Linked DNA regions of Drosophila melanogaster. The protein of the gene in region 3 interacts with the protein of the main gene of each other region in a pairwise test. Each region holds a gene or a part of one and is shown on either strand. Other genes may lie near its edges.

Region 1 (4,822 bases), on a different chromosome or scaffold from region 3:
TATACATACCTCAAAATCATCATGATTGGATAATAATTACAACAATTTTCAAGATAGGCCGAGGTAACTTATCACTTTCTCTCTATGCGCAGGTCCGCCCAGTTCTGAGGACCTTCCCAAGCATGTGCCGTACCTGATTATCGGCGGCGGAACCGCTGCCTTCTCTGCTTTCCGAGCCATCAAGTCTAACGATGCAACAGCCAAGGTTTTAATGATTAGCAACGAGTTCCGCAAACCCTACATGCGCCCCCCACTGTCCAAGGAACTGTGGTATACGCCCAATCCTAACGAGGATCCCATCAAGGACTATCGATTCAAACAATGGACGGGATCCGAGAGAAGGTAGGTCTGAATAACTTTTTTTATATAATTGAAACCCATTAAGTTATTCCCTTCCTGTTCACAGCTTGTTCTTTGAGCCGGATGAGTTTTTCATTGACCCCGAGGATCTGGATGATAATGCAAATGGAGGGATTGCCGTCGCTCAAGGTTTCTCTGTGAAGAAGGTGGACGCTCAAAAACGCATAGTGACGTTGAACGACGGTTACGAGATAAGCTACGACGAATGCCTAATTGCCACCGGCTGTGCCCCCAAGAACCTGCCCATGCTGCGTGATGCTCCGCCCAGCGTGCTCGAAAAAGTAATGGTCTATCGCACACCCGATGACTTTGATCGCCTCCGCAAATTGGCGGCGGAAAAGCGTTCAATCACAATTGTTGGCAATGGATTTATCGGCAGTGAACTGGCCTGCTCCCTGGCACACTATTCCAGAGAGAACAATGGCGGTAAAGTGTACCAGGTGTTCCAGGAAAATGCCAACATGTCAAAGGTCCTTCCAAACTACTTGAGTCGCTGGACGACGGCAAAGATGGAAGCCCAGGGTGTCTGCGTCATCCCCAACGCCAGCATTCGCTCGGCAGTTCGCGATGAAACCAATCTAAAGTTGGAGTTAAACAATGGAATGACTTTGATGTCGGACGTGGTGGTGGTCTGCGTGGGTTGCACGCCAAACACGGATCTCGCGGGACCCAGCAGGCTAGAGGTGGACAGAAGTCTCGGCGGTTTTGTGGTTAATGCAGAGCTGGAGGCCAGGCGGAACCTGTACGTGGCCGGTGATGCTTCCTGCTTCTTCGATCCTCTGCTGGGCAGGCGACGGGTGGAGCACCATGATCACTCGGTGGTCTCTGGTCGGCTGGCCGGCGAGAACATGACGGGAGCAAGTAAGTTACTGGGCTTAAAGTTAATAACCGATCGATCATAATGTTCGCCGTACCTTTTGCAGAGAAACCTTATCAACATCAGAGCATGTTTTGGTCCGATCTAGGTCCAGAGATCGGATACGAGGGTATTGGCTTGGTGGATTCCTCGCTACCCACCGTTGGTGTGTTCGCCCTGCCCTCGGAATCCGCCACGCGCGTTGACCAACTGTCTGAGTCTAGTGATTCCGACGTGCCGGAGACCAGTACGAGTTCCAGCCAGTCGTCAAAATCTGATGCCGGGGCTAGCCAAGATGGCGTTACCTGTGATCCCGATGAGGCGGGCAACTATGGCAAGGGTGTAATATTCTACTTGAAGAACGACAAGATCGTCGGCATCCTGCTGTGGAACCTCTTCAATCGGATAGGCTTAGCTAGGACAATAATCAATCAGAATAAGAAGTACGATGACCTCAATGAGGTGGCCAAACTGTTCGAGATTCACGCGTAGAGAACAGCGAGTCCCGAGGGACCATGGAGAAGATCTGGCTACCCTGATATGCTTATCAGCACGCACCGAACAGAACCTATCCAACCCGAATGCCTTTAACTGTGTTTACTGTGTACATTTGCAACTGCAACTAGATACGAACGGCAATGACGCAATGCAACAGAAATTTTAGTTTTATTATTTTTGGAATAAACCTTATTTTGTAGTCAACGACATTGATTCGGTTATGTAGCAGCAAAGTGCATATCTCCGTGTAAATATTGAAAAGTCGTAGACAAGCGGGTCTCTGTTGAATTGTGTGTAACTTTCGTAATAAACCAAGCACCAGAAAGTTGTTGACAAAAAATTCACCGTACCAACTAAACTGTTCAAATTATTCATTTTCGGTGTTGAAAAATCCGCTTTTTGATCCTGAGGCACCCGTTATTTAACTAATCCTAAGAGATTTTGCTTTGATTCTTATTTAAATAAATCGTAGGAACTTTGGAACTTATTTTTTTTACTTCAATCATATAACCCATTTGTTTATTGTCCGAGTTGTCTCACAACGGCACAGAATTTAAATGTACATATTTTTTTGGAATTTTCCCAGAATTTGACTAAACCATCTGCCTTATAAAAGACGAGCACCTGGTTTAGGGTTTTAGGCTGGATTAGCTGAATATAGCGAGGATCAATAAAATTCGCGAAATATTATTTTCGCTGAAGTAGGATCCTACCTGACTTCTTGTGCCAAAGGTGGTTACTTATTAGGGCCACTCGGATTACCGACCAATTGGTAGGTAGAGCCCGAGAACGGGTGGCCCATAAGCAGGTACATCCTTGGGATATATAAACTTTGCCCTGAGACAAGCAGGACATCAGTTCCTTCTCGACAGTCTAATCATGAAGTACCGCATGTTGAATAAACGCAAACAGGCGACTCCCTCGCCAGTAAGAGATTCCGACGCAGCCGACGTAGCCATGGCCAACCACAGTGCTCTGGAACTGGAGGCGGCTGCGGCTCTCTTGTTGCTCCGCTACCAATACGATCGACAAGTGTGCAATAACATTATAACCTACACGGAGTCCTGTTCCCCGACTCCACCGCCGGCAGTTGCTGACAACACGACGCCAAAAGATCAGACTGTTCGTCCGCCAGTCGCCAGCCAGCCGCTGAAGAAGCGCTCCATACCATCGCACATCCTCCGCAGATCCCTGACTCCGGCCAAATCCGAGACTTCAGTGAGCAACAAGTCGATAGTCAAGGCCAAGACGAGGACTCCAATTCCCAGTAAGGAGCGAAACTGCAACAGGACCTTGCTTAAGTCCTGCAGAAATATGATTCGAGAGTTTTTGGACAATCAGGAGTTTATCTAAAAAAAAAAGTTTAACTATGTATCCTAGGATAACCGCCTGAAACCAATTCTACATTTGTAATTTTACACAAATCAAGATTTTAGAAATCTTCGCAAAAAACGCCACAGTGAATTGCACGATTGCAGAAAAGATCGAAACGAAATCCTTAAACAAATGTAGCCCAGTATATAACAGTCCCGAGAAAGATGAAGGCGATCGATCCTTGGGATCTTGGATTTCAGTTTTCAATTTATTTATTGCATATAAATTTGTTTCCTTTTTTATACATATATAAATTATGTATTGATCGAAAGATAACGTTTTCAATGGAAGAACAGGTATTGTGGCGACACTAGAGTGCTAATTATTAGCTATTGGCGGTGTTTAAACTTAAGGCGTACGAAAAACAAATAGAAAATTAACTTTAGCGTAGATCTACACAATAATTAATAATTACAGTTGCACTACAGGCTAATTGTATGAACGTGCAGCGATGATATCTTCTCCTAACTCTGTTCATTCCGTTTAATGTAATTAATAAAGTGCTTCAAATGTACATTTTCTATTGTTTCATTGTGTTTTTAGCGGGTGAGTGCGTTGTGGGTGGTGGTGGGTTGTGGAAGTGTGGTGGTAAGATCGTAAGCGTTTTACAAACTAAAGTTGTTAATGCTTAAATGAACACCTTCATTTGCTGCCACAGCGATTGCAGCCACTTAAACTAGCGTACAAATAATAAAAATAAAATTAAGAGCAATAGAAAACTAATGTGTATACATATATGCTTGTGTGTATCATCATTGCTATATTAAAATGGAAGCCAATGTTTTTCTATCCGTGTTTCTTGTTGCAGTGTATCTAGGGCTAGGGGCTCAATTGAAATTGAATTTTGAAAGCTCTTTTTCCAGGCTGATCTTGAAGCAAGAGCAGACCCATCCTCGCACGAAGGATCGCCAAACTGTTGCAGGATGGCTTTTTGGAACTGCTCTGGTTTCGTTAGCATTCAGCCAATGTGAATCAAAGATAATTCTGTTGTTATCACACGAAATCAATTTGTCTTGTTGTATACAAAAACTCTTTCTATGCTGATTTGTATATTAATTAACAATTTCGACAACAATTCAAATTTCATATTTCCTTCACATTCTCTCTTTAGATTTTAACAATATTTGTTTGTTTTTTGTTCTTTTTTTTCGTTTTCATAAATTTGAAACCATTGTTGAGGCAACATTTGTAAAGCTCAAAGGTGGCAACACTTACGGTCTAAGCTACTGGCTAATTTCTACTCCTTATTCGCTACTTATTACTTATACGATTGATTATGGTTAGGCATATTTTTGTTTATGTTTTTGTTTGATAAATGTAGAAATTGGCACATAATCGAAGGCTGCGCTGCGCCGGCTCAAGAAATCTACTTACAACAACGAAATTACATGCACTCTGCTCTTGCTTAGCTTAGCTTAATAAATACGCTTGATGTATAAAATAAATGTATTTATGTATGATTGTTTGTTGGTTTATGCAGATGTGATTTCTATGTACAGAAAGTCGGAAAGGTCGTTTGACAGCCGCAAAGAAAGTATAAAGCAGCAATGGTTAGAAGAAGCCTTTGATCAAGAATTGAATTGAATTGAATATTGAATATCAAGTTTGTGTAAGAAAGAAATACAAGATGGTTTTCATAATTTCTCTTAAATTTCGAAATGAAATTGCTACACAATCTTCAATAATGAGTTTTCCGTTTCGATTGCATTCTAAGCGACCCATCCTAACCGAAAG
Region 2 (5,471 bases), on a different chromosome or scaffold from region 3:
GAGATCTTTAATGCAGAGGTAATTATCCCTACGAATTATTCCAAAAGTGTCACAGAAATATCTTTCAATTACATTGCTCGAAGATCGAATTTCCTTTCTTAAGATTGCTGTGACACTTTCATTTGCCTTTCTTTTTAATACTAAATGCCAAGGTTGCAGAACAGACAACACGAGCGTTTCAAACGCAGACGACTCGCTTACCACCACCAGCAATAGCACAGTCAAGACCATAAAACCAAGTTTTCAGTTGGACATGGACGAGTTTAAATTGGACAGCTCGGAAGATCAGATAATGCCCCCACCGAACACGCCGCCAGGTTTAAAGATCAGCAACACCTCGGATAGTGTAGTTTTATTGACGCCTGCGACCCAGGATATAATCTTTGTGAATGATACACTCGAAGATGTGAGCAAACTGGGCACCATGGATGTTCTGGCCGAAATTATGAAGGACGATGACGACACGTGCTCGAGTGCTTTAAGACAGTACGAGAAGGTTATAATTGACCAGCAGAAGCAAAACCTACCAAATGCCCCAAAAGTTGAGAGCGTCATTCCAATTACCAAAGTCGTGAAAATGGAACCTATATCCCAGCCAGAAACAGACTTAGGCAACGAATCAACAAAACTGCCCGAGGATATTGAAAAGTATCTTATGGATATCAAAGAAGAGGATAGTAGGCATTCGGAGGAGGAGTTTCCGCGACCGATTTTGATCAAGGAGGAACCTGAGGCGACGGTCAAAGAACGTTTTAACATTGAGTGCGTCGAGTGCGAAAAGGTATGTACAATTTTCTCGACCATCCACAACTAAATAATATTTATTTCAAATTCGATCCACTTAGTTCATCAATTTTATGGGTTCAAATCTGACAGACGAGAAGATCAAAGATTATTTGGCAAAGTGCCGGCATGAAGACGCTCGCAGTTCAACTCCGCCGGGATTCTGGAATCCACACATGGTTTCCTTCGCAGAAGGCGATCCACGCAACGAAGTGTTGATAGACACTCGGTTTTGGGACCAGAGATAAAACAAATGACATTTAGGCAATCAATTTACAAATAGTTTTTCAGTTTAGACCATTTCATTTATTATTGATTTTGTTAGTTCTCAATTTGATCACATTTGATTCACAAGTTTCCTCGCTTGGCTTGTTCAATTTCAATGGCCGTGAACAAGGACTTAAAGTTGCCAGCGCCAAATCCCTGAAATAGTAATGATCATGATTTACTTGTTCTTAGCAACAGTAGGTTAAGCAATAAATCTTACATTGTGATTGTAGCGTTGGATAACTTCCAGGAAGAGGGTCGGTCTATCCTGGCAGTTCTTTGTGAAGATCTGCAGCAGATATCCGTTCTCGTCGAAGTCAATCAAAATGTTCAACTTCTTCAAGACCTCCATGTCCTCCTTGATCTTGGTGCGGCTGTGCGAGAGCTGCTCCTGAAGGATCTCGTAGTACGAGGATGGGATGGTCAGGAACTCGGTTCCTCGAGCCTTTAGGTTGCTCACCGCCTCGATAATGTCATCCGTATTAAGAGCAATGTGCTGGACACCACCGCCGCCGTAGTACTCCACGTACTCCTGGATCTGTGACTTCTTTTTCCCATTGGCTGGCTCATTGATCGGCATCTTCACCGTCTCCTCGTAGTTTGCCATCACGATGGACCGCAGGGCGGAGTATTCCGTGTGAATCTGCGAGTCATCCACGGACCAGAAGCGGTGGAACTGCAGGATTCTCTCGTACCAGGAGGCCACGCTCTCCATCTGCAGATCCGGCTGGTTGCCCACCACGTGATCAATGAAGTTCAGCTTGGTGGAGGGCAATCCGTTTAGAAGGACATCTTTGGGCGACCGCTGGAATCCAGGCAGGAAATCTCCAGCGTACCCATTGCGCTCCACGAAAGTGTGGGTAGTGTCGCCGTACTGCATTCAAGTTAAGGATTAATCCTTAAATATTCCAGAATGAAATCCACGGACTTACCGTCTTGATGGTAGCGAATCTCACGAATCCCTGATCATCGCTCTCCTCCCAGATGTCGCGGACCACTTCGGCCCCACGGGACACGGCCAGTGTGAAAATGGCATTCAAATCCTCCACTTCGAAGGCTACATCCTTGACACCGTCGCCGTGGCGCATCAGGTGGAGTCCATGCTCCTCGTCATCCGGCGTGTAGGCGGAGACGAACACAAAGACGATCTTGTTCTGGCGGACGGCATGCTTGGCGAAGCGTCGCTCCCCGGTCTCTAATCCCTGATAGCCAAGTGGTTCGAAGCCCAGTCGAGTGGTATAGTAGCTGGCCGCCTGCTTGGCGTTGCCAACGTAGAAGGTTAAGTGATCAAAGCTTAGAAATTTGCCGGCTTCAGGCTGAAAGTAGTGAAGAAAGTAGGTTGGCATTATACGCTCCAATATTGGCATACGCTTTCGAACTTACTTTGGTTCCTTTGTCAGTATAGCTGGTCTGTTGGTAGTTAAAAAGAAATAATAGAAGTCATTAGAATTAGATCACCTTGAAATGGATCCTTAGAAAGTCTGTATAATTATCATTGGTTTATCCGCTTTTGTTAGACAGTATTTGTTATAAATCCTGTTTGAGAACTCTTTAAAGTCCATTTAATTCGCACTAAAGGGCTGTTACATAACCACATAGCCACCACATGTCCCATCGTCTCATTTACCATTATCACTCAGACTCAATTTATGCAAATCCTCTCCTCGCACGCGATATAGATTTCTTCGTTCCGTCGATCTTACACGATCTTCAAATTGATTATGGCCTGAGCTCAGCCAGTCGGAGGCTTTTTATAGGGCGCTCAGGTAGGTGGATCAGGTGAAAATCCTGTACTAATTTAAATATAAGCCAAACTAGTATTTTGTTTATTTCGAATGCCATATTATCGGAATATCTTAGCTAGCTGGTTATTGATCGCATATTTAAGCTAAACCTGCATGGATTTGTTTACTAGAACAGGTGGATTACTTAATTAATGCAATCTCGAGCGGAATGAATTGCAATATTGTAATGCGGGTCGGGCCTCCAATCTGTTTACTTCGTATCTGAGCGGCGCTTTGCAAGTTCTGCGTTCGAAATTTCACTTCCTTAAGCTCGTTACATGAAGATACAGATAACTATGTGTTCGTTATGCAAAAGTTCGGCCCATGTCAGAATTCAGCTAAATATTCATGAAGTCAAGTCTAGTGAGTTCGAAAATCGGTTGCCAAGTCGTACTAAACTTGATTCCAGTTTCGAGCCCCCAAAAACGCAAACAATGGGCCAACTGAGTGTTAATGCTATCTGAATTGTTATTGTTATTGCCATTGTTACACAGTGCATAATGTGGGGCGTTATTGAAGTTGTTTTGCATTAGAACCGCTTTGCAAGGTTCTCAAAACAAATGTACAAAAACTGGTTAACAAATCTGTTTGTTGTTACGATCTAATAAAGCGGCACACGCTAGTCACAAATCATCTAAATTGATGATTGCCTTTATCGGTTTTTAATTGCGGGGATAATAGCTCTAAGAGGATTGGAAAAGGATTTCAAATCATTAGCTTGATGGTTATTTTCTTTATTTGAAAGCGCATAATTCAGTTGTATTTAAATATAGCAAGACTGGTTTTGGGAACTGGATTAGTTATTTAAGCAAGTTCTATTATTTTTATAGGTATTTAGGAATATCTTGCTTATAGATGAATGAGCGTTTTAGTGATCGTTATTCTTTAGTTTAAAGTTAGACAACATCACTATAAATGATACAGATAATATAGATATAGATTTAAATGTAATTCAACAAGCAGCCAATATGTTGAGATTATAAGATCATAATTGTTAAACGGCGTTTATTTCTATCATAGTAATAAAAAAAAGTTTATCTTGTGCTTGCTTTAAAGATCTTTTGATCGAGATATTGCCCCTGTGCTTTTTTTTGGGATAGGGCAGTTCTCTTAATCATTTTGACTGACGATTCGTGTCAGGTGTTTGGCAACATGCGACAAGCCCATAAATTAATAGTTTTTGCCGCTCAGCCACATGCTATGTTCCCTGCACACATGGCGTATGAGCAATTCAGGCAGCTAAGCATTAATGATTAGCCCTAGACAAAGTCTCCCCCAGCTGCTAATGATGAACTGACAGTCCGATGGAAGTGGTGAGGTGGGGATGGGATGGAATAGGTTGGGAAAGAGTGGGCGATGGTCGATTGGTCATTGGCAAGAAGCCAAATCAATGCTTGACATTTATTATGATTGGCTTATTAGGGCGCTGCATAGGCGACAATCTGGCAAAAGTGGTAGGAGTTGGAAGTGGCCCTTGTCGCCAAATTGCTCCAGATGGTATTGTAGCTATTAAACCATATGACTGAAAAGGTTCTTCTATAACAAACCCATTAAATTCCTAGGCGTATTAATAAAGAACATTCTATTCACATTCATGCAAAGTAATGCATCTGAAAATACACAATTGGGGCAACTTTCTAATTTCAAATCCTCCCAAGCCCTTTCACAACATTGATTCCATTATCGCCCTCATAAACTGCGAGGTTTTCTATTTGTTTACTTTACACCTGGCGCTCCTTGGGTTCCATTAGTCAAAGAATCCCGACGCACTCCCTCGGACCTATCCCAATAAAAATCCCAACCGCTCAGATTTGCCATTAGCTGAGCAAACTTTTGTCCTTGGCGAAATGGGAACGGTACCTGGCTGAGCTCGGGTTGGCTTCGGGTTTGATGTGGGTAGCCTGTTGCTCTATAAGGATATTAAGATTCCTTTTACCTCTCTCTTTTCTGCGGCTGGAGCGGTGAGTCCTGCGCTCTTTCGGCTAGACGGCATTGCCAGCAGTGAAAGTTTCTCACGGGGGTTGCTTTCTAAAAGGACTATTCCCAGACAGAAGGATGTGGGTCTCTATTGTTGTCGTCAGTAACTTCAAAACGGATGCACAGAAAGAAATTCGGAGTGACTCTTATTTCATTTAATGTTTTACCTTACTTTGAAAGTGCTCATGGAACTATTTGCTTATTGAGATCATAAATATTGTGTTCCTTATTTATTACCTTTATTTATATTTATATTCATATACAATTTAATATTAATCTCACTAGTTATGCAAATACTTATTTTATGGTTAAATGCTTGGAATAAAGCGGTAGTAATTTGGCTAAAATCCTTACTAAGTAAAATATTTCTAATCTGCAACTCTGCACACTTTTTTCTCAGTGCTGTGTTATGGTCCTTGCTATTGTGGTTGTTGTTGTTGCCATAGCCGCAAGCTGTCGCCGGTCGACGTCACGCTTTCCATCCTTCAGTCGCGTTTACTGCGCTGCCCAAACAACAAGCCAAAAATAATAAGAGTCGCAGTAAAAACAGTAGAAAAATCAAAAGTGTGTAACTGCTCTAAAATTATCTAATATGAATTGGTATAATTTCGTAGGAATAAAACGTCAGCCGCAAAAATAAATAAAGTCAAACGTACTTGA
Region 3 (6,154 bases):
AAGACACTATTTGTTGGCCACGATTTCAAACTTAATGCCGTGCTCGTGCTTCTCCAGCTCGCTGATGAGACTGGTGCCACGGAAGGCTGCTCCGGGTGGCAGGACTCCGCCGGATCCGGGCATCTTGTCGCTTTCGTTGAGGATGGTCTTCGCCGTGGAGAGCAGTGCAACGCAAGTGGATCCATAGCCGGGATTGGGACCCGTAACCCTCACGGTCAGTGTCTTTGTGGGCGGAGAGGTGTACTGATCGGTGGTCTCGGCTAGTTTTTCGGACTTGGGCCAGCCTGTGGCCTTCATGGTCATTCTGAAGAAGGAGCGCTCCATCCGCGCCTCACTGGGACCCTCGCGGGAAGCCATGCCGCCGGAGAAGACGGTGGGGTACTTAAGCAGCAGCTGGCGGCCAAAGGAGAACTTGGCCATAATGCCAATGATAGAGGCGAAGAGCACGACAACGCTGGCCGCAAACCATGAGGGATACGTCATGTAGGCCTGCATCTGAACGGGTCGCTTCTTCTCCAGTTCGTAAAGGAAACGCTGCGAGCGCATCACCACCGAGCGATCTGTTTCAGGGAACGGCAGGATCACCTTGTTGTCCACTTCCGCGGCACGGGAAAGCGGCGATCGTGACTTAAGAGCCGGATGAAAGTTGGGCAGACGCTCGGGAAACAACTTGCGCCGGATGGCCACAGACTCGCTCCGGTTGGCGATAGCGTGAATGGCGCTCTCCCAGGTGCCGGTGTTGAGTGCAGCACTGCCCGTTCCCTTGGTACCTCCCTTGACGCCCAGATGGACAAAGTTCTCCACTGAGTTGACCACGCCGTCGAAGTTCTTCTCCACGAAGGTGACTCCCATGTCGGCGGGAATGGAATCAAAGCCGCACGCACTGATCACGTACACGCCACGCTCCTTGGCGAGATCATGGTAGCGCAGCTGCATGGTTTCCATGTACTGTGGCTCTCCGCTTACGTCTACGTGATGCGTTCCCGCCTCGATGCAAGCCCTGACCACTCGCTCGCCGAAGAACCGATATGGTCCGGCCGTATTGACTAAAATGCGGCAGCGTTTGGCCATCTCTAGCAGTGACGCCTCGTTGTTCACGTCCGCGATGACGATCGGCGTTTGGGAGAGGTCTGTCTTGGACTTTGCACCCATCTCCCGCAGCACCGACTGCAGCTTCTCCTGGTTGCGTCCGGCGATGCCCCATTGCAGGCCCTTCAGCACGCTGACAGCCTCGAAGACGGTGTACTTTCCGGTAAACCCGGAGGCACCGAAGATTATGGCATCCAGTTTCTTAGCCGCCATTCCAGAGTCCACAGATATGCGACTATAATGATTTGACTAGAAATGTCTTATCACTTCCAGACCGAAAGGTAATTCGTCTGCTTCGGCCGACTGGCGAAATGTTAATAATGCTAATCGCACCGTATAAGAGCTGTATTTATTGAAGATAGTAGCGTCGTGACTGTACAAAACTGAATCGAACAGGTAAAGATCGATTGCAGATAGCAACAAGTGGCTAGTAACTCGGATAATGAAGTTGAAATGAAATAAAATATTTTTACTAGAAACTATTGAAAATGAAAATGCTTTGCGTCCTTTTTTATCGATGATAATTTAATTTATGGTGATGATGGTTTAATTTACATCCTAATACTTAAAATCCCTCAGATCAAATTGTTAGTTCTCGAACTACTACGCATAAACTTCGATAGCCAACAAGAAATCGATGAATTTTAAAACGATAAATTGGCCAAGTTTAAATATATGAATTTAATGAAGTTGTGTGCCATTAAAATAGAAAAAATATATATTAAAGAATTAGAAAACAGAATTTCGAAATATTCTGTTTCTATATTTTAAACATAATATTGGTATGCTCAGAGTCGTCAGCATTTTCTCCAACACGCCGTGATAATGAAATGATGAGTGATATTCTAAATCATTTGCGCTCAGAAATTTGTACATACTTGTGTGTATTACAGACAACAAGTATTTTATCAAATGCAGTACACGAAGCTTTGTTAGAAAGCTCTGCGTGGGGACAACAAAACGCTCCCGATTGTTTGTGGCGTAGTTAGTTATATTCTGGACGCTTAGATCGCCAAGCTAGGGTCAACATGTTGTGGGAGTTCTTCGCCCTATTTGCGATCGCTGCCGCCTTGTTCTACCGTTGGGCGTCCGCCAACAATGATTTCTTCAAGGATAGGGGCATCGCCTATGAAAAGCCAGTGCTCTACTTTGGCAACATGGCCGGCATGTTCCTGCGGAAGAGGGCCATGTTTGACATAGTCTGTGATCTCTACACCAAAGGCGGAAGTAAGAAGTGAGTTAAATTCATTGATCCGGATTTAATAAGTTGATTACCTAATATGCATCCGGCTCACTTGCACTTGCACTTAAAACACGTTTGGAACAAGTGTGTATCTACTGGCCTCCAGCATTGCGTACAAGCCTATATAAAATCGTATGTCAAGGTCAGGCAATCAGTGATCTATCTATACACACATTTAGTGGGTGCGGCTGCGTTCGACTACGTTTTGAATATACAATTACAGAAATTCAGAAATACTCTATTATATTTTGTTAAGTCTTTTATCTAAAGCAGTGTGTAACTGCCAAGATAATTGGCGAAATGCTTGGTTCTATTAGTTTAGTTTGCCATAATCTTATCGATTATACGACAGCTTTAAATGTTGTTTGTCTCGGACGGCAAACTTGATAGGAAAAATAATTGATAAAGCTCCTGAAAAGTGCTATAACGATAAGGTTATCTAATTTATTAATTAACTTCATATTGGGGCAACTCTTTGTATGACTTTACCCTTTTTGTTACTTTATAAACATGCAATCATTATTGTACTCAGCCTTTTCAATTGGATTTAATGTACATATGATTTATTTATAGACCAATACGAGAAATCCGCTTTATAAATTTATAGTTTTCCAAAAAGAAATCGAGATGGGTTAATTGAAAATTCGTCGGATAGGTAATGAACAACGCTAGCCATGCATAAACTCGAATTTCTGTTATCGTTTTCTAAACTTGTTGAGCGCACGATTAATAATTTCTGATTTGATTTATCAGTGTGTGACTCACAAAAAGCTTATCGGTCATTAACATTATTATTTTTTTTAGATTTTTTGGTATCTTTGAGCAGCGACAACCACTTTTAATGGTGCGCGACCCAGATCTTATCAAGCAGATAACCATAAAGGACTTCGATCACTTTATCAATCATCGCAATGTGTTTGCCACCAGCAGCGATGATGATCCACATGACATGAGTAACCTTTTCGGCAGCTCGCTGTTCTCCATGCGAGATGCTCGGTGGAAGGATATGCGAAGCACTCTGAGTCCGGCATTTACAGGCAGCAAAATGCGTCAGATGTTCCAGCTGATGAACCAGGTGGCCAAGGAGGCCGTGGACTGTCTTAAGCAGGATGATTCAAGGGTTCAGGAGAATGAACTGGACATGAAGGACTACTGCACACGATTCACCAATGATGTGATCGCCTCGACAGCCTTTGGACTGCAAGTGAACTCGTTCAAGGATCGCGAAAATACCTTCTATCAGATGGGAAAAAAGCTGACCACATTTACATTCCTGCAGAGCATGAAGTTCATGTTGTTCTTCGCATTGAAGGGTCTTAATAAGGTTGGCACAGCATACACACATATCAAAAAAATATATTCCTTAATTTTAATAATCCTTGTAGATCCTTAAGGTCGAGCTTTTCGATAGGAAAAGCACTCAGTATTTCGTGCGTCTGGTGCTCGATGCTATGAAATACCGACAGGAGCACAATATTGTACGTCCCGACATGATAAACATGCTGATGGAGGCTCGTGGTATCATCCAGACGGAGAAGACCAAGGCATCTGCCGTTCGCGAGTGGAGCGATCGCGACATTGTCGCCCAGTGTTTCGTGTTCTTCTTTGCTGGCTTCGAGACTTCGGCGGTGCTGATGTGCTTCACCGCTCACGAGCTAATGGAGAACCAGGATGTGCAGCAGAGGCTATACGAGGAGGTACAGCAAGTGGACCAAGACCTGGAGGGCAAAGAACTGACCTATGAGGCAATTATGGGCATGAAGTATCTGGATCAGGTCGTCAACGAGGTTCTGCGAAAGTGGCCGGCGGCAATTGCCGTCGATCGAGAATGCAACAAGGATATCACCTTCGATGTGGATGGCCAGAAAGTCGAGGTCAAGAAGGGCGATGTCATCTGGCTGCCTACATGCGGCTTCCATCGTGATCCCAAGTACTTTGAGAACCCTATGAAGTTCGATCCGGAACGTTTTAGCGATGAGAACAAGGAGTCTATTCAGCCATTCACATACTTCCCCTTTGGCCTGGGTCAACGCAACTGCATTGGTAAGTTGATTGATTCAAAATTGTTCTTCGAAAAAATGTAAAATGTATTTATTATAGGTTCCCGATTCGCTCTACTTGAAGCAAAGGCTGTTATCTACTATCTTTTGAAGGACTACCGCTTTGCCCCTGCCAAGAAATCCTGCATTCCACTAGAGCTCATTACTTCCGGTTTTCAGTTGTCACCCAAAGGCGGCTTTTGGATTAAACTTGTTCAAAGGAACTAATCTTATAAACGATCAAAATAATAATATGTTTTGTTGAATGTTATGTTTTAAAGAAGTTGACATTATTAAATTTAAACAATTAATGGTAATTTGTTTCTTTGTTTTTAATTTATACCAAAAATGATAAAAAGATAGCATATACTTATGTCGTGACTCTACAAAACTGAATCGAACAGGTAAAGATCGATTGCAGATAACAACGAGTGGCTCGTTTACACGGTAACTCTGATAATGAAGTTGAAATTAAATAAATAATTTTTACCAGAAACTATTGAAAATGAAAATGCTTGGCGGAGTTTTTATCGATGATATCACGTTTAATTTACATCCTAATACTTAAAATCCCTCAACTTAAATTGTTAGTTCTTGAACTACTACGCATAAACTTCGATAGCCAACATGAAATCGATTGCTTTTAAAACGATAATTTGGCCAAGATTAAATATTTAAATTTAATGAAGTTGTGTGCCATTAAAATAGAAAAAAATTATTAAAATTTATTAAAGAATTAGAAAACAAAATTTCGAAATATTTTGTCTCTATATTTTAAACATAAGATTGGTATGCTTTATAAGTGCATAAGATACATGCAATTAATTTGTTTACATTTGCAACCGGCTGAGTTGACGCTGTTGAGACGAAACTCTGCATGGAGGCATTATCCCGAAGATCGGTGATGGAATTATTCACTGAAACGGTTTCAAAGGTGTACAGGGCGCGGAATCCGATGGCCACAAAGCGATCATTGGAATGCAAGGTGACTCGAAAGAAACGTCCATCAGAACGCATTTCAAAATCGGGAAGCTTTCCGCAGTATCTGCTGAACTTTCGATCCGTGCTCATGAAATTGGAAAACTCGATGTAATCGCTGGCGGTTTGGTGGTCACAACTGCACAGAAAAGGGGATTAAACATTTTTAGGTGATAGTTTAGATAAAGATCTTACCTTCCAATGCCCTCGATATCGAAATATGTGAAGTGAAGCACAACTCTTTCGTCACTTGCTCCGTAGAAATAATAATTGCACACAACATTTTCCAGGTAATATCCGGGAAAATTCGGAGAGTGAAATAGGCCACTTATTCGCTCGCTGCTATTGTAGACAAAGGAACATCCTTCCTTTTGAATCCCCGACATGATACCAAAATCTTGAAAATAAGCCAATTTTTAAATAAATATCAGTCTTTATTTGATTAAGACTCAGTGGAAACACTTACTGGTTAAGAAACGGTACTCCGCGCGAAATCCGTAGTATTGCACCTTGTTCGTCATTGTGGGCGGATATTTTCCGACAAACTGAAGGTGTAGCTGCTGTCCACTGGACATCAGTGGCTTGGGCAGGAAGGCGCCGCAGAGCAGTTCCTGCGTCTCGTACCGTCCACGCAGCTCGGTGACCACGTGCAGCGCATCGCCCGGCTGGCAACCCGTGGAATTCTCGTGCTCCGTAGGCACGTTGAAGTCGTGGAATCGAATCTGCACCCGTTCTGGCGCCTGAGCTTCAAATTCGTAACGGCATTGCAAGACTCTCGAGCCGCCAATTACAACGCCGCCGAGCG
Region 4 (6,184 bases), on a different chromosome or scaffold from region 3:
ACGAGTCCTGCGAGGATAATGGTAAGTGGGATCCGAAGTTATGCGAGAATTGCATTATCTCAGAATTGATTATCATATCAATTTGTATCAATTTAACCCTTTGAGAACTACAAAATTATGCAATTTTTGGCCAACCACTGCTAAGTCATCTTTAATATGTCCAGTAGTCCAATCCAAATGGTCAACATAATCTGCCTGATTAGGGAAATTCATACTGATAGCGTTTGAACTTAGACCGTTTATCAGGAATATGTGTACATGTGTGTATATATAGGGTTTATTAAACGTTTTCTCTCTCCCTCTTCTCCGATCCACAGGTAGCTATATCGAGAGTGCCGCCGGCTGGGCCACCAAGCTGCACATGGTTCGCGGCAAGGGCGCTGTGCTGCGTCCTTCGCTGGACGACCCCGTGACCATTGAGTACGTCAAGGATGTGTGGTCGAATGTGACCGACATGTCCAAGGCCAAGCACTTGGGTGCCATCGCAGAGGCCTCCGGCACCCTGCTGGAAGTGCTTGAGAAGCTCAAGGAAGGCGGCGGCGACGCCATCGAGGATGCCTTCGAGTTCAATAGCAAAGAGCTTATTACCTACGCCCTGGGCATTGGGGCATCCGTCAAAAACGCGAAGGACATGCGCTTCCTGTACGAAAACGATGCCGATTTCGCCGCCATTCCAACTTTCTTCGTTCTGCCCGGCCTTCTGCTGCAAATGTCCACCGACAAGCTGCTCAGCAAGGCTTTGCCCAACAGCCAAGTGGACTTCAGCAACATTCTGCACGGCGAACAGTACCTAGAGATCGTTGACGATCTGCCCACCAGTGGCACTTTGCTGACCAACGGCAAGGTCTTCGATGTTATGGACAAGGGATCCGGCGCCGTGGTCGTCACCAATAGCGAGTCGTTCGACGAAAGTGGCCGCCTGTTGGTGCGCAACCAGAGCACCACTTTCATTGTCGGCGCTGGCAAATTCGGAGGCAAGAAGGATCCCATCGCTGGTGTAGTTCCGCTGCAGCCGGCGCCCAATCGCCAACCGGACGCAACCGTCCAGTATACGACCAGCGAGGACCAGGCGGCGCTGTACCGTCTGTCCGGCGACAAGAACCCCCTGCATATCGATCCCCAGATGGCCCTGCTGGCCGGCTTCAAGACACCCATCCTCCATGGACTCTGCACACTGGGCTTCTCGGTGCGCGCCGTGCTCGCTCAGTTTGCGGACAACAACCCGGCTCTGTTCAAGGCTGTCAAAGTGCGCTTCTCCGGACCCGTAATTCCGGGCCAGACTTTGCGCGTGGACTTGTGGAAGCAGGGCACACGCATCAACTTCCGCACCGTGGTCGTGGAGACCGGCAAGGAGGTCATATCCGGCGCCTATGTCGACCTGAAGAGCTCACAGGCCAAGCTGTAAGCGCGGATCACCTAGAGACACATAGTCTGCCTTAGTCGCAATGGATTATCATTGACTTTATAATTCGTTTCGCGTCCGTTTTTTTTTGTACATACACTATAACAAATATGCCTATACATATGCAATTGTTTAAACGCCCGTGGTGGTAGAAGTATTTTTTTGTAACACTTTTATAAAACTCCCAATAAAACATCACATAACTGAAAATGCAATGTTGTTTAAGATCATGGATGTAATAGATCTGAGAGATAAGATATATGAGATCCCAAAAGAAATATCAACTTTAGCTAAACAACACAAAGTGATATTATCTTTGTCAGCCTGTCCCCTTTTGTGCAATGTAGTGAGTCATATTATCTTTGTTTTACACATATATAGGTCAAGTGATATCTAAGAAAAGACCATATAGATACAATGCATCTAATATGTATGTGCATTAAACCGATATAAAATTTCTAATTTCTAAATATGAGATTTTTCTTTTGTGTAGATTATTAAACCCAAAATACGCGATTCTATAGGATTAAGCACAGCTAAAAGAGGGAGGGAGAATATCGCCATCCCTTTTCAATCAACGAATAAACTTTAAATCTGCCACTTGATAAGGAAACTAGAGCTTCCGAATGACTCATGGGTTACTCTGACTATTTATATATCGGTCCTTGGCTCACCTGACGGTGGTATCATTGCTCCCGGACACCACATATTCTCCAGACGGGTTAAAGTCCAGAGTGCGAACACTCTTCATGTGGCCATTTAGCGTGGAGTAGATTTTCTGTGAATTCAGATCCCATCTTCGGATTATACCGATGTCGTCGGCGGAGTAGACAAAGTTATCCTTATAAGCAAAACGCACGCAATCGATGGAACGATTGTGGCCCGTCAGAGACTGAAAGGAAAGGGTCACCGATTAGTACATACATATATTTAGGAAGTAGTTAGTATATTCACCATAAAGCACTCATTTTGACCAATCGCCCAGAGGTTCACATTGCGATCCTCTCCTCCGGTGACCAGCACTCGTCCAGTTTCGCCAAGATCAAGGCTCGTGACCCTGCTATCATGTGCCTTTATATCGTCTGCAAAGGATGAGAATTGGTTAGTCCTCTTCGGCAAGTTTTCATGATATGATGATATAGTTAGTATGTTCAGATTAAGCTATGCTTTAAACAACAGCTTTTCAAGATCAAAAGGAAAACTTACAACAAATATATAATAATAAAAATATGATATTTTCGTATTAGTATATACTCAATAAATACAATTTTATAATGATTTTTGAATCTTTTCAAAGGAAACTGTGTCGATATAAATAAATAAGTACCTTTTACGTTATCCACATTTATGAATGACAAGGATTACTAGTATTTTGAAAAGCAAAACAGATAAAATAAAGCTAGGAAATCGATGTACATACATACATATGTACAGTATATATGTACATACATATGTACGTAAATGTACGCATTTCAAAGAAATTGAAAACTTGTTCCCAGATTAAAACCTTTTTGAACTTCTATAGTTCTTGGGATTGAATTGAAGTTTTCTAAAGGCTATATACAAATATTATTTTAAAGTCTGAAGAAGCCGTATGATGTTTATTTGATATTGATATTGCGTTGTAAAACAAGATATTAATTACTTTAAAACGAACAATTCAGCTGCAGCTGCACTCAATGTTCATATGTATCTACATACATACATATGTGCACCTGGGGATTTTCCTATTGGATATCTGCATTGTTTATAAGAACGCGTGGTATTGTTTTAAAAGTTACTGAAGTTGCATGCAACACTAGAATTTACGATAGGATTTCAAACACGCACGCACACACACATATATACATGCAGTCGTATTTCTACGTGCTTGTGTGTGTGTGGGAATATACAACGGTACTTTCGAACATTCGGTTTACTTACAGATCTTGGATATCAGTTTTCTGGGCAGCGCCATAATCAATCAAATTGTTCTTATATAAATACGCTGGCAGCTGCTAAATTCGATCCGAATGCCAGGTTTTCGAATAAATATTATCTTTTTGTAGCAGGTGTGAGCCAAAGTCTGTGATCAGCTGTCTGGGCTCCCGTCTTTTTTGGGCAAAATGAAGCCCACTTATTTACGAAACGAACAACAAAACGCACTGAAACAAAATCACACGGTGTGTAAAACCTTTACGAACCGATATCACCGTGATCGCATTGTTTAAAAACAGATAATCTAAATGTTTAATCGGACAATTCTTATTAACAAAAACAAATGCACATCACATTGTAATTACAGCGACGACGAGGGCTGCAGCAAGCTGTCGATGAACACCGATTACCAGGGCCGGCATAGCGATTGCATTTTGTACATTTAAGTAACAGTCGTTGGTTATAATTATTAATACATATATATATATATATATTGAAAATAATTTGTATTATAAATTTGTATTATTAAATAACAATAATAACAGATAATGTGAAAAAAAATTAATTGATATTTTACTAAATTATTTACAGCCCTGAAGCTGTAAAACGGTTTACAAAAGTATTAAATTAAATATTTAAATAGACTAAATGGAATAGAATATTAAATAGACTGAAGTAACAAGAATTGAATTGATTCTGATACATGATTTCAGCAACGATATATCGTTCACTGCGAAACGGTATTAATTTAGTAATTTTCATCGAACCCATGCTGCGGTCACACTGCGGCATTTCCTCAAAAAAGCATCATCATTGCCTGGCGAATTCGAGAAGGAAAAAGCTATAAGTTAATATTCTGCAAGTACCTCAGCTATTGAATAAAGCAACAAGATGTCCTCACGCTACGATCGTGCTGTAACCATATTCTCTCCCGACGGTCACCTCCTGCAGGTGGAGTATGCCCAGGAGGCCGTTCGCAAGGGATCGACTGCGGTAAGTGCAATTTAGTACCGTTCGCAGTGCCGCCAAACCGAAACAAACATGGACTTTTCCAATTTTTCGCCTCGCAGGTCGGAGTTCGCGGCGCCAACTGCGTTGTGCTTGGCGTGGAGAAGAAGTCGGTGGCCCAACTGCAGGAGGATCGAAAGGTGCGCAAGATTTGCATGCTCGACAACCACGTTGTAATGGCTTTTGCCGGTCTCACGGCCGACGCTCGCATCATGATCAATCGTGCCCAGGTGGAGTGCCAGAGCCATCGTCTCAATGTCGAGGATCCCGTGACCCTCGAGTACATAACCAGGTGAGGATTTGTGAAATAGTTGCGCTCTAAATTAGCTTCTATATGGTTTTGGCCTTTCATTTTAGATTCATTGCCCAGCTGAAACAAAAATACACGCAGAGCAATGGCCGCCGTCCCTTCGGTATTTCCTGCCTTATTGGCGGCTTCGATGCCGATGGCTCTGCGCATCTGTTCCAGACTGAGCCGTCGGGCATTTTCTACGAGTATAAGGCTAACGCCACCGGGCGATCGGCAAAGGTTGTGCGCGAGTTCTTCGAGAAGTCCTACCGCGAGGAGGAGGTGGCCAACGAGCACGGAGCCGTCAAACTGGCCATCCGTGCGCTGCTCGAGGTGGCGCAGTCAGGCCAGAACAATCTGGAGGTGGCCATCATGGAGAACGGCAAGCCACTGAAAATGCTGGACACCGATGTCATTACCGATTATGTTAAGATCATCGAGAAGGAGAAGGAGGAGGAGCTCGAGAAGAAGAAACAGAAAAAGTAACACCCAGCAGCTGGGACACTTCTTCGATGGAAGGCCGTTGCATTGAATCGCTTTCCATGCATTCGGCGACACTATCTGGTGTCGCCGCCCACATTCTGTCTGCTCATTGTAGCCAACCTGATTTGACTTGGAAAACGATTCAAATTGAATTCGGTGAACCGAATGCATACTTTTTTTAATTACCACTTTCTATTCTTCGGAACCCTGTAAAACGGTATGAAAATATTTGATCTGTATAAAATACATGCGTCATCATACATTAGGCGGAGCTCCTGTTGAATATTCGAACTTTGTTCTTGCATTTGGGATTCAAGATTGTTCACGGGAGGATTATGGGCAAGCTATTGGGGGGTATAAAGGGTTAAAAAACTTACATTAGTGGTATGACATTGCACTTTAATGGCAACGTATCATCAGGCCCAAAAAAGTAATTGTAAACATACCACGATTTTACTGGACTTTATTGCTATATATTGTACATGTTTCGTAATTGAAAAGTACACATTTTCCAGTTGGGATATTATACAAGCAAAAGAACGGGGGAAGAAAAAAATAAATTGTATTCAAATAAAAATTTCATTTGGCGGGCTCTTGCAAAGAGCAACAAGAAATGCAATGACAGTCTGGCAACGCCGTATTAGCACGACTCTCCATGCTAAGGCGATTTTCTGGGAACACCTATATAAAAAGAATGTGCAGATAGAAAGCTTTGGAATATTTCAATAGCTTGGAAATATTAGAAAATGTGATAAAAACACGCCAGTAAGGTGCCGGTCTGACAGTCTGGCAGCACTGTTCTTGTCGAAAAGTTGTCTGCGAAAAGTTTTGCATTAAAAATCAACTTGTTAGCAAGTTAAGAGTACGAACTTATTCCAATTCTAATTGGAAAACTCCTAAATTGTGATAATTTCGTAAAAAACTCTATGCAGGCTCGTGCAGTGTGCCCAGCTGGTGGCTAAGCGCAAGTACCTTCATTCGCGCGCCACTTAACTGAGGCGTTTTGGTATTCCCTGCAGATGGAGCGACCGGTTGAGCGATCCGATTGTTGCACCGATAGTTCGGCAGCTATATATTCCAAGTCG

What was found.
Region 1: the proteins of Cyp9f2 (region 3) and CG15382 interact in a two-hybrid assay, tested with the Drosophila melanogaster proteins (one large-scale study listed by BioGRID).
Region 2: the proteins of Cyp9f2 (region 3) and Hpd interact in a two-hybrid assay, tested with the Drosophila melanogaster proteins (one large-scale study listed by BioGRID).
Region 4: the proteins of Cyp9f2 (region 3) and kat80 interact in a two-hybrid assay, tested with the Drosophila melanogaster proteins (one large-scale study listed by BioGRID).

What each region holds. Positions count from the first base shown.
Region 1 is NT_033779.5:2,153,190-2,158,011, forward strand, and holds CG15382 (uncharacterized protein), read left to right. Parts: upstream 1-2,563; 5' UTR 2,564-2,593; coding exon 2,594-3,067; 3' UTR 3,068-3,601; downstream 3,602-4,822. Other genes in the region: AIF (apoptosis inducing factor), read left to right, coding at 93-342, 407-1,221, 1,284-1,708.
Region 2 is NT_037436.4:20,437,095-20,442,565, forward strand, and holds Hpd (4-hydroxyphenylpyruvate dioxygenase), read right to left. Parts: upstream 2,779-5,471; 5' UTR 2,681-2,778; coding exon 2,678-2,680; exon of another isoform or gene 2,461-2,677; coding exon 2,434-2,460; intron 2,367-2,433; coding exon 1,983-2,366; intron 1,925-1,982; coding exon 1,271-1,924; exon of another isoform or gene 1,207-1,270; coding exon 1,132-1,206; 3' UTR 1,072-1,131; downstream 1-1,071. Other genes in the region: CtIP (CTBP-interacting protein), read left to right, coding at 1-18, 160-781, 846-1,031.
Region 3 is NT_033777.3:12,401,872-12,408,025, reverse strand, and holds Cyp9f2 (cytochrome P450 9f2), read left to right. Parts: upstream 1-1,997; 5' UTR 1,998-2,117; coding exon 2,118-2,323; intron 2,324-3,136; coding exon 3,137-3,656; intron 3,657-3,717; coding exon 3,718-4,375; intron 4,376-4,432; coding exon 4,433-4,599; 3' UTR 4,600-4,686; downstream 4,687-6,154. Other genes in the region: CG5167 (uncharacterized protein), read right to left, coding at 7-1,302; Sol1, read right to left, coding at 5,146-5,488, 5,545-5,746, 5,816-6,154. UniProt on the Drosophila melanogaster protein: May be involved in the metabolism of insect hormones and in the breakdown of synthetic insecticides.
Region 4 is NC_004354.4:16,272,208-16,278,391, forward strand, and holds the start of kat80 (katanin 80), read right to left. Parts: upstream 3,974-6,184; 5' UTR 3,909-3,973; intron 3,711-3,908; exon of another isoform or gene 3,547-3,710; 5' UTR 3,360-3,546; coding exon 3,326-3,359; intron 2,485-3,325; coding exon 2,357-2,484; intron 2,295-2,356; coding exon 2,077-2,294; intron 1,609-2,076; exon of another isoform or gene 1,406-1,608; coding exon of another isoform or gene 318-1,405; intron 22-317; coding exon of another isoform or gene 1-21. Other genes in the region: Mfe2 (peroxisomal multifunctional enzyme type 2), read left to right, coding at 1-21, 318-1,405; Prosalpha4 (proteasome alpha4 subunit), read left to right, coding at 4,211-4,312, 4,390-4,619, 4,685-5,102.